2 linked regions of the Arabidopsis thaliana genome follow. The protein of the gene in region 1 purifies or fractionates together with the protein of each later gene. This does not show direct contact. Each region holds a gene or a part of one and is shown on either strand. Other genes may lie near its edges.

The links.
Region 2: the proteins of AT1G62410 (region 1) and LSP1 fractionate together in Arabidopsis thaliana (co-fractionation; one large-scale study listed by BioGRID). This does not show direct contact.

Annotation. Positions count from the first base shown.
Region 1 is NC_003070.9:23,090,826-23,094,479, reverse strand, and holds AT1G62410 (MIF4G domain-containing protein), read right to left. Parts: upstream 1,566-3,654; coding exon 1,182-1,565; intron 1,077-1,181; coding exon 861-1,076; intron 683-860; coding exon 611-682; downstream 1-610. Other genes in the region: HT1 (Protein kinase superfamily protein), read right to left, coding at 2,951-3,220, 3,306-3,654.
Region 2 is NC_003076.8:13,823,595-13,828,103, forward strand, and holds LSP1 (Eukaryotic initiation factor 4E protein), read right to left. Parts: upstream 2,810-4,509; 5' UTR 2,738-2,809; coding exon 2,547-2,737; intron 2,387-2,546; coding exon 2,212-2,386; intron 2,114-2,211; coding exon 1,982-2,113; coding exon of another isoform or gene 1,976-1,981; exon of another isoform or gene 1,540-1,975; coding exon 1,474-1,539; intron 1,385-1,473; coding exon 1,352-1,384; 3' UTR 1,247-1,351; exon of another isoform or gene 1,027-1,246; intron 1,000-1,026; 3' UTR 830-999; downstream 1-829. UniProt on the Arabidopsis thaliana protein: Recognizes and binds the 7-methylguanosine-containing mRNA cap during an early step in the initiation of protein synthesis and facilitates ribosome binding by inducing the unwinding of the mRNAs secondary structures.

The sequences.
Region 1 (3,654 bases):
AAGAATATAGAGTATGCAATTGAAAGCCGAAACCAAAGTGTATTGGTTCTCGGTTTAGTCTTTGTTTCATGTTACCTCATGTTAAGTTCTGGTTCAATTCTTAATTTGGGTCTAGTTCTTTAAGGCCCACTGACATCGGTTGACGAGCATCTAGTTTTGTTTCAACGAGCTTAGAAGAGAGTAAACATAGTTGTCGAGAAAAAACGAGATTTATGTGCTCGAATCATCATCTTCGTGACTGGTGAGTGATGCTTGGTTTTCGTTTTTTAACTTAGCATTGAATCTTCCAGAAATCTTATTAATTCTATCATTCTCATATGATGACATCCATGGATTCAAACAAAATTTTTGCCTTTAAGGCTATCATTAAGGCTAGAAGTGATGAAGGAACTAAAAAGCAAAGATCATGAAACACTAAGAGATTCATCCTTATGTTTGTGTTTTAGAATGCGATACATTCTATATGGAGGGAGAGAAATGATAAAGACACGGAGAGCGACCCTCAACAACGGAAAAATTGTCAAGTTGATTGATAAAAATGTGAGAAACCGATTGAGTACTCTAAGGAAAGGGAAGGTAGAAAAACATGTGGGAGGACTCCAAGTGTGGTTCACATCGAGATAATACCGAGGATATAACCACACTTGGAGTCCTCCCACATGTTTATAGGATCGGACTTTATCTGTATGCTAAGAAAACTTTGCATTCACATATATAAACGTTTATTTTTTTTTGAATATAATTTAACATTGAATTAAAAAAAAAAATTGTAAGTAGCAACAAAACAAAGTCTTAATCTCGTAACTCAGAAAGCTTATGATGTTTTCAAGGGTATTAGAACAACTCTTTCGCGCTGGGACCCCAATGGAGTGCAAATGGATGATCTTCCCAACCATTAATCTTAAGCTCATAACCAATTGAGGATGATTTGACAGATTCTTTAAACGTCTTAAAATCTCGTTCATCAGTTTTGAGTTCAATGAATCAAGCTTTTTGCCAACAGTGTTGAGAAAGAGACAAATAGCTATAATTTTTTCCTCTGATGGACACATTTGCTCAGCATCCTCCAAAAGCTTCTGTATGGTAAAAGTAAATTTAAATTATAACACACTAACACAAGTGTTAGGCATGTAGTCCCATCAGACCGGAACTAGAGAAAGTTAAACAGTCATCTTCCTAACCTGACCAATGGCTAAAACAACCTTTTCTGTCAACATCCGCTTCAAAAAAAGCTCACCACAAAAACGAAGATTTCCTAGAGTCCGGAGGTTCAACAGTCTTACTTCGTCTTCCCGTTCGGCCTCCTGATCTGGCGCGTTCATCTTTCTAATCTCCTCACTTAAGTCGTCAGTTCTCTCAAACACCTTTTGACATGTGTTCAGCAAAACCCTCTTGAATGAGATCTCATCAGTCTTAGGCGCTGAAGGTGGAAACCTAGGCATTTTGTGGCGGATATCAAAGCACAATTGAGCGTACATAGGGCAAAAGGTCGGCTCAAGGACTGCTTTGTCGAAAATAAGGGTTGTCAAACGCTGTAGTGAAAGAAAAGGGCACAAATTAGCCATATTCACGAAACTGAAGATAGATAACTCATTACGCAAAGAGAAGATGCAACCCATAAGCCATAACCAAACCTTCTTAAGTTCGTTGGGTTTTTTTCAGTTCAAATCAGAGTGTTATTCATATAAAAAAAATAACTAAAAACCAAGAAAAAAAAACTTAATACATGGTTAATTAGCTCAGACTTTTTTCCCCATAGCTAAAACCCCGACAGAAAATAATTTACGTAGAGCTTTAATATATGTAGTATAAACGAATGTAATTTTAACAAATATGATATATAGAACTAATTCTGGCAGATAATTATATAAAAGTTAATCTATATATATTACTATATGGTAAGAGCATGCACCTTTTAAGATATCAGATGTATTGCAAGAGCTGATAAGTTGGGTCATGAGACGACCATATTTCTCTTCGGCTATCTGGTTCGTTATACTGCCCAAGAAAAGTATAAAACACAAAGATAAATCTAAAGATTTGATGTTTGGAAGTTAAATAACATAATGATGCCAATATGAGAGATCAGAAGTGTATATATCTATATATATTCTGTACAAAATAGCGGATAGAGGAATTAAATTACCAGCTTATTCCTTCCAAAGCCAATGCTTTGAATGTTATCCAATCTTGCAACAATACTGTAGATCGAATACAAGCCAACCTAGCCTCTTCAATGGATTTTTCTGTCATCTGTAGTTATGAATTATGACACGTTTTGGGTGCAAAGACTTAGAAGAATCTACAATATATAAGAAAGGAATGGCCACAGCATGGTGGAAACGTGTCCAAAATTGATAATGGGGAATATTTCCCCATGCGTCAATGTTCAGAAAAAATCGAGCCTAGAAAACTGAAACGTCGGCGACCGAAATTTATTGTTTAATTTTTATTTAAGATTAGTTAAAATGGAATTACATTTGGAAAAGAAATAATGATATTATTATAAATGTAGATGGTCTCCGTTTTCCAATGTAAATCATTTTTTTTTCTAGTTATGAATGTTAATATCATTATAAACTGAAAAAGTCTGCCTTTACATTGTAATAGCCTATGATTTTAATTCCTTGAGAAAAAAAAAGTTAAAAACAATGAGTCAATATAACTAAGAAGTCACTTCTTGTGAGTTCAAGTTATCCACTTTCGACACATTTAGATAATTAGACACTTACGTATTCTTTTTGAGCTCATTCCCTTTTAAACGAGAGACCAGTGATCAATAAGTATCATTATATATCATACAAATTAGTTAGCCTAAGTTCGTGTATATCAAATCATAACATCACGTAGATGCAAATATACAATCAAATAACTAGTGAAAGAAAAAGAAGAATTGTAAACTTTGGAATGAGACCAGGTTACAGGTACTTCAAATAACTTTTATCTACTACTAGGCATTTACAGGAACAGAGGAGGAAGAAAATGGTGAGCTAATGGATGTGACACAGCCTTTAAGGTGATCAAGAATAGCTTTCTTTGTCTTCGTTAGGCTTGCGTGTGACGTCAAAGGCAGTCCTTCTTTGACACACTCGTCGTACTTCTCTAGCACCGCCACTATGTTTGAGAAGTCTGGCCGCTTCGACGGATTCTCTGACCAACACCTCTTGATTAGATGAGCTAGCGCTGGTTGACAGCTCGCCGGCAATGGTGGTCTTTCGTTCTGCTCATCAAAGAAACCAAAAAAATCAATAACTTGTATCCCAAGAAAAACAACAATCTGGTAAATAAGATGAATGGAGACTGACCTTTTCAGCGACTGCGAATGCGGCTTGCACAGGAGTCATGCCTTGGAACGGAAGCAACGCGGTGGTGAGTTCCCATAGAACGATGCCAAAGCTATAAACATCGACTTTTCTGGTATAAGGCTTCTCCTTGATCATCTCTGGAGCCATCCATCTATAAGTTCCCATGTTACCCTTGGCCTCTCTGCATTGCGTCTCAAGACAAGATGTCCCAAAGTCTGCAACTTTAACTCTCATCTCGTCGTTCAAAAGCAAATTGTTGGACTTTAGGTCTCTGTGGATAACACCTTGCGAGTGAAGATACTCCATTCCTCTTGAGATGTCTAGAGCCAGCCTTAGTACGGTCTCGATC
Region 2 (4,509 bases), on another chromosome or scaffold:
TGGTGGATACCTAATATCCTTTTAATATTTGCCTTCTTTTGAGGATGGACCTTGCTTCCGAACATAACTGAAGACTTGGAGAAGTTGATTAAAATTACCAGATTAAACAACGACTACATATCTACCAATGCAATAATAGAACCGTACGACTCCAACATAAGACAAAACACTAATATCCAGTTTGGAGAAAAAAATGATTAATTAAACCATATGAATCTGAAATTTGTTTTTCCAAAACTTGTTTAAGAACTTTTCATTGATGTAAATTGCAATCTCATAGTTTTGTTAACAACAAAATGAACTGTAAACCCAATTTCAGACTCGTGTTTGTTCAATCCTAAACATGTTGGTTTCTTTCCTGATTTGGCTATATCTTTTTATAATTAATAACAATGAGACTATGATAGTTTATTAATTAAAAAAATATACAATATATTAATCAGTTCGGGTAGCCGATTTGGAATTGAAGAAATGTATTTAGTATCGAGTATTAATTTATAAACATATACTAAAAATCTTAATCAAATTTTTTTCCTTAATCCAAAATCTCTAAGCTTTAAAAGTTCAGTAGCCAATTGACACATTGTTTGTATTTATAATTTCAATATGAGTCCATCCTAAACCTAAAATAGATTTAAGCAACTTGTAAGTGAATATTTAAATAATCAAAACGAATTGTTATAAGGTTTTTTGAACCATTTTAGAGGACCCAAAAACTGTGAATCGGAGATGGAAGATCCACAATTTGTAATCGACCATATCTCCTTGTTCAAGCAACTTTAAGATAAACTCAAAATGGTATAGACTCTTCCTGAAGAAGAAATCATAATCTCACGGCTATATAAAAAGAGGATAAAACTAATAAAAGACTAAACTACTGCTTAACTGCAACAGTATTAATTAAAAAGGTTCAAAATCACAGTACAAAAACAATTAATACAAAGGAAAATCGTGGAATCCTGCTCTAAATCAATTTTTTACCAGATTCTTGAAATTTACCTACAAAGAAATAAGATCTTGTAAGATTGTAAATTCATATAGTGATAATTACAAATGCGATAGACATGTACTAACACTATGTGATCCAACAAAATACAAAAGAGAAGCATTAGGGTGTTGCTAATAAGAGTATATTATCTCTGTATTTGTCTAACAAGTGGTGGTTTCGAAAGAGATTTATATAACTCAACTTAATTTATAACAAAAAATCATTTTAATGAAACAGAAAACTTTGTAGAGTTTACACCTCAAAGTGAATGTCCCTAAATGTCTCAGCTATTTGAGTAAACCGACCAAACAGTATCACAAAAAAAGCCATATTGCATCTTCCTCTGGCTTCACACTCGTTTCTTCAGACAGTGAACCGGCTTCTTCTGGAATCATCCTGCGTATAGACAAAGATATATTAAGCCACATGAGATCTAAAACATGTACAAAAAGATGATAGCTTCTTCTTTAGAGAAGTGTAATTACATGGTTATTGAAAGTTATCTTGTCGGTGACATCAAGTATCTCCTTCCACTTCTTCCCAATACCCATCTGAATTACAATAACAAACACCAAGTAATAAATTCATCAGATAGATTCATAAACCAATCTTAACATATTGCCAAGTTTTAAAACAGATGTCCATTGACAAAGATAGTTATGTTTATAATGCCAATGAACTATTATATTTACTATTATGTTTATAAGTCGCAACATATAACCTTAACATTAAAAACAACAATTTTACTATTGCAGAAGTATCTCAATCATCAGAAGCTGGTAAAACTCTCAAGGACAGGCAACAAAGCAAGTTAAGCATCAAAACCCACTAGCTATATAGTTCTCTGTGTAGCATTAAGAATTCTCGTAACGAGTGTTAGTATTTTCTAAAGTTTACCAAACTAAATTTGGATATCCCACCAACAATCATAATCATGAATAGCCAACACCAGCATCAATATAAACATAGTGAGAAGACAAACAAACATCATACCAGAACAGCTTCATTAGACTTCGTCCTAGTCCACAAGGAGAGCTTGTCTTGCTTCGACTGTGGACGGACACTAGCAACCACACCACAAATCTCATCTGCTTCATCAAATTGCTCTCCAATCAAAGCCATCAACTACATATCATAAGAAATAGAACCAGTCACCAAAACCACATATCATCTAACAAAACACAGAAGAGTAAAAGGTTAGGGTTAGGGTTAGAATGTAATACAGTTTCAAGCCAGCCTTTGTCTAAAGCTTCCTTCCTATTAGCAGTAACAACCCAAGTCCACTTTCCTCCATTAGCACACTCTGGATCTTCCCACTTTGGCTCAACACCAGCTTTGAACAAGTGAATTTCAGCATTCGCTGTCAATTTGCTAGTCTGAAATATAGTCTCGTGCAATCTAACAATAACCAAAAAATTAACATCCTTAGATTTTCGGATCCATACACATAGATCGAGATTCACAATAACCATAGCTTCTATACAAATCCCAGATTTAGAAGTTACAAAGCAAGGCATTGACAAATATTGAAATCAAAGGAGAAGAGAGAAAGACGAACCCCCAAAAATCTTCGACGGTGTCGAAAGTATAGGCTTTACGAAGAGAAGCTCCCCAGGCGGCGCCTTTCTTTGATTGGTTATCGAACCAGAAACTCCACTTTCTTTCGAGCTTGTGTGGTTGTTTCTCCGCCTCTGTCGCCGGTAATTCCGCCGCCGCCGGGAGAGGCTCGTTCACATCATCGGTCGCCATATTCTTCGCAGTTGAGTTTTCTTCTGAGACGGCTTTTGGTTACGAGAGAGGGACAGAGAGATTGTTTTTGAGATGTATTTTGGAATGGTTTAAGAAGTGAAAAGGGCTATTTCTGGACTCTATTGGGTCAATTTTGGGCCGGTCCATCAGAGCATTTAACTCTTCTTTTCTTCTTTTTTCTTTTTCTATTGTCTTTTGGTATTTAAAAAACAAGTAAAAATAAAAATCTCCAAAATTAATTGCAAGTGGAATCCCAATAGACAAGGGTTTAAAGTATTTTTTTTTACAACAAGGTGTTGTTAAAAAAAAAATAAAAAAAAATACACCAAGGTATGAGATCTAATTTCCAAATAGCGGAATTTCTTTCATATTGTCAATGCAAAATCTTAATTAGTAGTATCAAATTAGAAAATATTGTTTACATTAGAGGTTCTAGAGTAATAAAAGATATTTTATTATATAAAGCATGATTTTTAAATTTAGTAATTCATATGACTGTTACATGTGTTATTTTTGTAGATCTTAGATTTTGGTACATGTAATTTTATTATAAATTTTAAAATTTTTAATATAAAATAAGATAAATTAAAGAAACAAAATAGTTTTAAAAATGTAAATAAGATTTTTATATTATAGTTCCAAATATAAATTAAAAAAATAAAGTTATTATAATTCCTAATCTTTTTCCCCCAAAAACAAGAAAACTTACAAATCTCTGCTTGATAAACTCATATACTCTCACTCGCCGCCTAAACTTCGGCGACGTTTGTTTGATCGCCGTCGTTCTCTCTTAAGACGAGAAGAAGTGGCAAAAACTGTACATTCTGTATCAGTTACCGCATAAAATCCGGCTACTAATTATATAGAGGTGAGTATTTGAAATCTTTTTCCTTCTAAGATTATAATTAATTGTAAAATTCCTTTATGTATTATATTTAATATAATAAGATCGTTTCCTTAAATCCTTTTTAAAATTTTTAGGAAGACGGTAATCAATTTTCTTTTAGAATTAGTAATTTCAAATTAGAATTAGTAATTGATTTATAATTTCTTTCAGTAAGATACATATAATTATCTTCTTTACATTTTTATTTCTTTAAAATAATATGTAATCTTATATTTTCTATCTTTGTTTGATAAGATACATATAATTTTCTAATATTTATCTTCTTTCAATTTTTTAAAATTGTTTTATATAAGATATATTAATATTTTACTTTGGTTTTTATATTTATATTTTTACTCATTTAATAAAATTGATAATAAGATTACATGTGTCAAAATCTAAAATCGAAAACCATACTTTATATAATAAGATATAATAATAGACAATTCTCAAAAATACCACTAAGATAAGTTTTTTGTTCCAAAAGTAACACCATCAGTTTTTTTCGTAACAGTACCAGTAAAAGATACTTTTTTTGAAAATCCCACAAAACTAAAATTCACCTATAATTTAAACTTTGGGTCTGCATTTAATATTTTGTGTTTAAATTTTAGGGTTTAGGATTTAGTTTTGAAGGTTTAAAATCTTTAGAAATCATTTTTAGACTTTGTGGTATTTTTGTACTAAATCGTTTGTAGAGGCATTTTGGAAAGAAAAAAAAACTATTTATGGTTTTTTGGAACAAAAACTTAGCTTAATGCTATTTTAGTGTATTTCTCTATAATAATAAAACTATGTTACTTTTAGTGATAAACCTTCTATTTTTTTTTTTGAGACTCAATTCAAATCAGTTTGTTTAGCATGGTTGACAACAAAAAAGGGTGGA